Linked DNA regions of Arabidopsis thaliana. The protein of the gene in region 2 purifies or fractionates together with the protein of the main gene of each other region. This does not show direct contact. Each region holds a gene or a part of one and is shown on either strand. Other genes may lie near its edges.

Region 1 (4,251 bases), 7.5 Mb from region 2:
GCTCGAAGATTTGTAACTATTCATGATTTTAGAAAATCGGAATAATGAATAGTGTACTTATTTGGACACTGAATAAGAAGTTACACAAGTCCCGATTGAAATTTAATTTACTAATGATCGTTACAAAATTATTTGTCTCTTTGTCATCAATCCTGTTAGTGAATATTAGAATTATTATTCATTGTAAACAAATAGGATCATCCAGATTGAGAAGTAAATAATTTTATGTATGTTACAAATGAAATAATTAATTGATCGTAAAACCTCTCTGACCTTATATATATCGAGTCTCACTATTCAACTTTTTCATTGCACTTGTCGTACAAAGGAGTAAACATTGATATGGGAAAGGTATGTGCATTCCTGTCTTTGGTAATTCCAGTAATTTGTTAAGTAAATTATGTGAACTTATATTTTGTGTTTTGGATTTGGTTCTAAAGAACAAGCAAAATGGAGAATCAGACAACAAGTCTGAAAAGAAGAACCAGAAAAATGGAGATTCATCAGTCGATAAGTCTGATAAGAAAAATCAATGTAAAGAAATTGTTCTGAAGGTTTACATGCACTGTGAAGGATGTGCATCACAAGTTTCTCATTGCTTGAGGGGCTATGATGGTAATACTCTATTAAAAGAAACATTATTAGATTACTTTCCCTCTTTAATGGAATCATATATATATGGTCTCGATCATAAGAATCAATGTCAAATATTTAATCATTTATCATTGAGTGAAATTGTACTATAATTTAACTTAAGCATTATCTAGTCTGGTTTCAGTTTTATTTTTCTTTCCTGTAATCTAGAGAAGTTGTCTATTAATTCCCACAATGACATAACGAATAGTAATCTCTAGTTCTTAAAGCATCAATTAAAAAATAGGATTACCGTTTTTTTCTTCTTACTCATGACTCATAAGTAGCTATTATCTTATTTGTCTTATAGGGGTTGAGCATATTAAGACAGAGATAGGAGACAATAAAGTTGTTGTGTCTGGAAAATTTGATGATCCGTTGAAGATATTACGAAGAGTGCAAAAGAAATTTAGTAGAAATGCTGAGATGATTTCCCCAAAACATAACCCTAAACAAGATCAGAAGGAGCCACAGCAAAAGAAAGAAGTAAGTTATTTCCAATTATTTCGTGTTAGAACTTAGATATATACTCTCATTTATATCATACCTTGTCTAATTAATCTGAGAATAACAACTAACATATCTAATCATTTCTAAATATTTTTTGCATGATTTTAGAGTGCTCCCGAGATCAAAACTGCAATTTTAAGAATGAACATGCACTGTGAAGGATGTGTTCATGAAATCAAAAGAGGCATTGAAAAAATAAAAGGTAATCTTTGTATATACATATAGAAATAATACGATATCGAAAGTTAAAAAAAACAACTTAGAATATGTTTGTTTGTTTTGACAAATTAAAAGGCATTCAATCGGTGGAACCAGACCGGTCAAAGTCAACGGTAGTGGTACGAGGAGTCATGGATCCTCCAAAACTTGTGGAGAAAATCAAGAAAAAACTTGGGAAACATGCAGAGCTTCTAAGTCAAATTACAGAGAAAGGCAAAGACAATAATAAGAAGAACAATAATAAGAAGGAAGAAAGTGATGGAAACAAAATCTTTAGTTACCCTCCTCAGTATTCATCTCAACATGCTTATCCCTCTCAGATTTTTAGCGACGAAAATGTACATTCTTGTTCAATCATGTGATTTTTTGACCCGTAAAATTAGAGTCTTTTTAAGTTATCTTTTATGGTTTTGATTTCCTTGCTACACATTTCTATATCTCAATAGATTTTAATTTAATTTAATTTTTGAGTGACACTTTATGAAAGTAAGATTTGGTGTCATGTGTATACTCGATTACTAGATTATGTTTGTAGTTGTGGGCCTTTTGTACAATTATTTGTAAAAAAAAATTAACAGGGCATTAGAGTATAAAAAAAAAGAATGTGGGTATATATTATATTTTAATAACTTAGGGTCTATTTTGTAATATAATATAAGTTGAGAGTACTTGTTGCATTTAACCCAAAAAGAAAAAGACAAGGGAGGACGAAGATGAATTGTCTCAATTTTTAGGGTTCATCAAAATTTGAACAAAAGGGACCTGTTTTGCTCAATTTTTGATAGCAGAAGACGAATCTGGATCTGGGGTCACTTCAAGTAAGTAAAGAGTTAACCTTTTGCTTTTTTTTGTACCATAAATTGTGTTCGAATGGTACGATTGAGAAATTGCTTACGAATCAATGAAATAACAGTTAAGATTTTGATGATGAATGCTCATGAAAATCTATTTAAGTTTGATTGAGAAATTGAAGAAGAGAATAAGAAATCGAGAGATTTATTGCGTAAATGGTAATACTTTATGTTTCAGTTCTGCTATTTAGATCCAAGCTTGAATATGTATCCCTTAGCTTTATTTCTGTAGGTTAAGATTGTTTGGTTGTTGAATGTTCTTTGTTTGTGCATTGCCTTTGCAGGATTGAATTAAGAGGTTTTTAAGTAAGTTGAGATGTCAGTTAAAGCAAGGAGAATTTCTGGTAGATTAGAGACTGTAGTAACTAAGGTTAATTATGCATTTGATCCTGTTGACGATGACAAAATCATAAGAAACCGGCTTCTAACCCGAACCACGACCACTCGAGGCGAGCCTCCATTGAAGAAACTTCAGAAGAAGTTCACTTCTTTTGTACTCGAGGTGGATAAAGAAGAAGAGAACTATAACGACTGCGGTAGACTTGCCAAAGCTTTTTTACAGGAACTGTCAACTTTCGAGATTCCGCTTCTGAAGAGCCAAGCGGTTGTGGAAGCAAACCTTAGGGAGAAAGAGAGCTTTAATGAGGTGAAAGATGAGACGGAAAGGCAGATAATGCAGGCGAAAGCTGAGATTGAAGATCTAAAGAAGCAGCTTGAGGAGAGTAAAATAGATAGACAGCATAAAGAAGAGTGTGAGACGATAAGGAAACTGATTTCTGCGCAACCGCCAAGGTCAGAGACAGAGAAGGTTATATATGAATTGAACAAGGAGATTGCTGAGCTTGAAGCAGAGAGCACTGCAAGTTGGAGATTGCTTGAGCTAAGGAAGAAGCAGTTTGCTCTCCTGATGCATGTGGTAATGTCAAAAAACCGAACCTTTTACGTTTCAGTCTTCATTACGTGATCTATGTTTGAAGTTTGAGTTTGTGATTGTGAACGTTTTTGGGAATGTAGGTGGATGAGTTGCAGAACACAATGGAAGATGAGCAGAAGAGTTTGGTGGACGAGATTCGGTCAGCGTCGGAAGATCAGAGGAACATAACCGACGCTATGTCTGTTGATTAAGTCCAAATCTCGATAAAACCTGCATCATGTTTCAAGCGTTTGCTTTGTCATCTGTTTCCTGTTTCTGATATGCCTATGTTAACCAAAACTGCGGCAGCTCAGTATACTGAAACCTGTGATTCGGATAGAAGAACTGAGAAACAAAGATTGTTTCTTTCAAATTTGCAGATGCAAGAAAGATTGTATCATTGTAAAATGCAGATGTTTAAGAAATTATGGTTTGTATAACCGGTTAAGAAATACCAATTTCTTGGTAATGTACTTTTTTACTCCAAACCGAGGCTGAACTGTTGATTCAATTAAACCGAGGTGGTTTACTATAAATTAATTACGTCGTGACGGGTTTGCTTTTGAACCGGCTTAGAAATTAGAAATTAAACAGTGTTCCGCTTTTGACTTGGTTCGATAGGTTTGGGTTGCCCGATCATATTTATGGTTTTGCATTTGAGGTTTTTGTGTGTTTTAGATGTAGTCTAATTTGCCCCCAAAAAAAAAAAATGTAGTCTAATTTTGGTTGGTGCGGTTTCTATTTTCGGTGTCGAGAATAATTTTTACAAGTGTGATTGCATAATGAATATTTCATGCAAATCGATATCCACAAGCAAAGCTTAATGTTGATTTTTGGCAATATTTAATTATTAATAAAAAATAATAATGCGACCGACTAGCCAAATAGGCTTTATTGTCGTAATTGTAGGTTTCTATTTTCTTGAGAAATATTTGAGCAGCATTAGTGTTCGTATGTTAACACACGTTTCTCCGTTATTTTACTTGAGTCTCTCCTGTCTTAATCTTAAACACTAAAAATTAACTTTGAGTGTTTAATTTACACTAGAAATTCTAATGTTATCTTTTTGCTTTGACTCTAAAGACTAAAGTTATACTTTAGATTAGACATACGAATATATTCCAA
Region 2 (4,576 bases):
GTATGAACATAAAGAAAGAAAGATTGCAATAACTTGATTTTAGAGTTTAGTTTTGAGATGAGTTGTCTCGAAATACAGGTATGTGTGTTTAAAGCAACGGTTATATATTCTTTCAACTCCATAATATACCAAAGAAGAAGGTTACTAAAATCTTCACGAAATTCAAGTTTAGCAAAATATATGTGGAATACGCAATTAACGTTTGTAGAAATGCTCTAGTTCGCGTTGTAGAAAGTTGTTGGTCACAATTTATGGGTTAATTAGGTGGTTAATGGTTATGGTTGTTCAAAATATAATTATGTTCTACTATACGAACCGAATCCAAATAAAAATGTATAACAAGAGAAAACGTCTCCTCGTCTACAAGAAAAGACACATTGATTTTGAAGAAAGAGTAATAATAACAAAAAATGTAAAGACAAAACACTGTATTATGTGTGACTTAATTCTTGTTAGTTTATTGTATAGTATATGAATATGATTAACCAATACACTATTCTAACGTCAAAACGTGATTATTTGGGTTATTTTATTTTCAATTTGAATCACAAAATATCTCAAATTTGTTTTTAGTAAAGATCAAACAAAACACATGTCGAAGCTATGCGAGAGAAGAATCCATCTACTTTTTGTTCAACAACACTGCTTTTTTAATACATAGCAAATGATTAAAGTTTACAACACAATCAATTAATCAAACCCACTAATCTAGAGAAGACTTTTACATGCCCCAGATTCCTCTAGCTGAAGCAACTCTGCTATTAGATCTAGCAGTGAGTTCATACAAAATCCTAGCAAATGAATCAGAATACTTACCCTCTTGAAAAAGCAGCTCAGCGAAAGCATTCTCATACGCGAGTAGCAATCCTCTGTTTTGAGGCTCCGAGACAAGGTTCTCAAGGATCATTGCAGCTTTCCTACATACTTCTGGAACCGGATGCGGAGTCTTTATCACTTTCAGCAACCTATCAACCGCCCTGAAAAAGATCATAATGGTGTGTCATTGTTGCGATCTAAAAACAGTTTGATTGTATTCGATAGAGAGGGAGTATAGTTTTTGTTTACCATCTCTCACTTGCTAGCTTTAATCTGCAATCCATGTTAACTTCCACGAGATTGTAGAGTGCTCCAACAGCTGCAGCTTGTGCATCAACGGCTTGTATGCTCAAAAGATCGATTAGTCGCTTGTGTATCTGCAAGGGATAGGTCCATTGTTGGGTTTAAATACTAGTTAAAACGAGTAAGTAGCCAGAAACCATATGAAGATTATAGAAGTTAACAAACCTGCGGAATTAAAGGACTAATGAAAGGTTCATTGTCCGGATTGATTATCAAACGCCCTAGCAACTCAGCAGCAGCACAATTCCAAGCTTTGACAGAAGAATTGAGGATTCCGACCACAGCTTGAACAGCTTTCTTTTCACTATATGCACAAGAGTAATGAATGATTCACATTGGTATTTGAAACAAGTTATGGATTGTGTAACTAAGAATGCAGGGAGATACAACTTCTCACTTTATGTTGATGTATGACTGCTTAAGCGAGCTGAAAATTCGAAGATCCATCAAATGCGCTAGGTTTACAATTGTCTCTAGCGAGTTTGTGACCAGCTCTTCATCCTCTGTTAACAAAAGATTGTCTTAAGACCATAGTTCCCAATCAAGTATCAAGCAAATAAGGAAACAGAGAGAATACATTCAAGCCAATTCAAACCAATAAGAAATAAGAATCTATCAGAAGCAAATGTAAGGAATTATAACTAGTAAAAGAAACAAAAAGGTTGGGATTGTATGTATCAAAACATTAGTATTCTTCCTTACCGGTCATATGATCGTGTATGCACTGGAAAACAGTTTCTAAGCAATGGCGATGCTGAGCCATTACAACTTCATTATCAGGCATGAAGGAGAAGTTGCGGATAACGTTCGATGCAGCAATAGCACACATTTGTTTCTCTGATCTCCCTTCATCGTCTAGATTAAACAAACCATCCTCTTCCATCCACCACTGAGATGACTGATGTTTACCAGTGCTCTTTTTTCCTAATGCCTCAGCAGCAGAAGAACCAATCCCGGATCTGCTAGGCCAAATATTAACAACACTTAGGTTCTAATTCTAAATATAAGCAACAATCATTTAAAACTGTAATCAAAGCAGTATCGAAATTAGCTCACCCAGGGGGTTGAATAGAGGCTAGAGCATCATACTCATTGCCAAATCCCGTAACTGAAGCATTTGTACCTAAAGTTCTAACTCTAGTTCCTCTTGTCAGGTCCTTTGGGAGAGCTATGTCACGCCAATCATCTATCTGCCAAAGTTTTAGCATCATGTTGGTTCAAAGAACAGAGAGGAAAACACAATCCCAACACCTAAACAATTAAATAAACTCACAATTAAGAGAAGGGCATCAAGCAAGCCAGCTATCTTAGCAAGAGGCATGACATCTCTTCGAATATCTTCTTTTTCCTTGAAGGAAAGCAACGTAAGTGTGTTCAATGCCCATGTCACCTCACTCTTCAAACCACTCTGCAACGCAAGAACTATTCTTCTATTGTTCTGCTCTATAAATTCCAATGATCCCAATGAAAATTACCGATTAAAAACTCGTTCACAAGAAGAAAACAGAGAGGAATTATAGAGTGGTCATTGCGAGCTTACCGACGAAGGAATTGTGAACTAGAAGAGAAGGACCAAGTAAAGCTGACGGTGACATCGCGTCCGCTGCTGCCGCCGCTGCAGCAGCAGCAGCTGAGTTAGCACTTGTACTACCGAAGGGACGGCCTCTCTTCGCTGGTGGACCCGAAGATCCACCGGAATTACCGCCGGATTTCCCAAGCTCCCGTTTCTGCATCTCTCTCTAATTTGGGGCTAAAGTTAGGGTTCGGAAATTTTGACCCGAAAGATTTATTCCGGTTTAAAAGTCCCAAGACGATTTAAAAATTAAAATTGTTTAAAGAGCACTAAACACTTTTTGTGAGTCAGAGGGTTTCGGTACAATTGAAATTAAAAACGTTTTAGACCGGTTTATTCCGGTTGAAGAGTCCGAGACTATAATTAAAATTGTTAAAAGAGAGCACTAAACCGTCTCTCTGGTTTACAGGGTTCCGGTTTAATTAAAATCAAAAACGTTCACGTCTTCTTGTATATGTTTATACAGACAAACTTGCAGAGGGAAATCGCCAAACCCTGCGCCGCCGTTGTTTCGCCGCCGAAGCAAGTTTCGCACCATTCTTCTTCAAACGTCTGAGCTCCATCAACTGATTAAGGTGATTTTTTTACATATCACTCAATTTTTGAATCGAACTTTTTAAAATATTATGGAATCTTCAAAGAGCATCTCTCTCGTTTTTATCTCTCTTTGATTCTTACGAGACGTGCACAACTCTGTGGATTCGATTCAAAAATTCGTGAGCTCTCACACAAGGTTTTAGGATTTGGATTATGTTTTGTTGAAGTTTTCTCTACTAATTTGAATCGCATCGATTCTGATAATGTAATCCTTGTATATATTGAATCTGCAGGTAGCTGTGTGTTTTGTAAATTGAAGAGATGGATGAATCTGAAGGTAGGAAAGTTAGGAACATATGTATACTAGCACATGTAGACCACGGTAAGACGACTCTCGCCGATCACCTAATTGCTTCTTCCGGTGGCGGTGTTCTTCACCCGAGACTTGCCGGGAAGCTTAGGTTCATGGACTATCTAGATGAAGAACAGAGACGTGCAATCACGATGAAGAGCTCTTCGATTTCTCTTAAATATAAAGACTATTCTTTGAACCTGATTGATTCTCCTGGTCATATGGATTTCTGTAGTGAAGTCTCAACAGCTGCTCGGTTAAGTGACGGTGCGTTGGTTTTGGTTGATGCTGTTGAGGGAGTTCATATTCAAACGCATGCTGTGTTGCGTCAAGCTTGGATAGAGAAGTTGACTCCTTGTTTGGTGCTTAATAAGATTGATAGGTTGATTTTTGAGTTGAGGTTGAGTCCTATGGAGGCGTATACTCGTTTGATTAGGATTGTTCATGAGGTTAACGGGATTGTGAGTGCGTATAAGTCAGAGAAGTATTTGTCGGATGTTGATTCTATACTTGCTAGTCCTTCAGGGGAGTTGTCTGCTGAGAGTCTTGAGTTGTTGGAGGATGATGAAGAAGTTACTTTTCAGCCTCAGAAAGGTAATGTAGTATTCGTGTGTGCTTTAGACGGGTGGGGTTTTGGGATTGCGGAGTTTGCTAATTTTTATGCCTCCAAGCTTGGAGCTAGTGCGACTGCGTTGCAGAAATCGTTATGGGGTCCTCGTTATTATATTCCTAAGACTAAGATGATAGTAGGGAAGAAGAATTTAAGTGCTGGAAGCAAGGCGAAACCAATGTTTGTGCAGTTTGTGCTTGAGCCTTTGTGGCAGGTTTATGAAGCTGCACTAGATCCTGGTGGGGATAAAGCCGTTCTTGAGAAAGTTATCAAATCTTTCAATTTGTCTATTCCACCACGCGAACTTCAGAACAAGGATCCAAAAAACGTGCTTCAATCGGTGATGAGCCGTTGGCTTCCTCTGTCTGATGCAGTCTTGTCTATG

The links. The genes of interacting proteins can lie anywhere in the genome.
Region 1: the proteins of LFR (region 2) and THO7 fractionate together in Arabidopsis thaliana (co-fractionation; one large-scale study listed by BioGRID). This does not show direct contact.

The regions. Positions count from the first base shown.
Region 1 is NC_003074.8:664,718-668,968, reverse strand, and holds THO7 (Tho complex subunit 7/Mft1p), read left to right. Parts: upstream 1-2,046; 5' UTR 2,047-2,180; exon of another isoform or gene 2,181-2,372; intron 2,373-2,497; 5' UTR 2,498-2,529; coding exon 2,530-3,129; intron 3,130-3,227; coding exon 3,228-3,338; 3' UTR 3,339-3,746; downstream 3,747-4,251. Other genes in the region: AT3G02960 (Heavy metal transport/detoxification superfamily protein), read left to right, coding at 343-351, 441-615, 944-1,119, 1,252-1,345, 1,438-1,724. UniProt on the Arabidopsis thaliana protein: Acts as a component of the THO subcomplex of the TREX complex which is thought to couple mRNA transcription, processing and nuclear export.
Region 2 is NC_003074.8:8,162,291-8,166,866, reverse strand, and holds LFR (ARM repeat superfamily protein), read right to left. Parts: upstream 2,927-4,576; 5' UTR 2,853-2,926; coding exon 2,660-2,852; intron 2,563-2,659; coding exon 2,393-2,562; intron 2,310-2,392; coding exon 2,176-2,309; intron 2,079-2,175; coding exon 1,822-2,078; intron 1,623-1,821; coding exon 1,517-1,622; intron 1,424-1,516; coding exon 1,285-1,423; intron 1,194-1,284; coding exon 1,066-1,193; intron 978-1,065; coding exon 722-977; 3' UTR 517-721; downstream 1-516. Other genes in the region: AT3G22980 (Ribosomal protein S5/Elongation factor G/III/V family protein), read left to right, coding at 3,551-4,576. UniProt on the Arabidopsis thaliana protein: Involved in leaf and flower development. Plays roles in leaf development partly by associating with AS2 and repressing KNAT1/BP transcription. Required for the formation of anther cell layers and normal expression of genes that regulates anther development.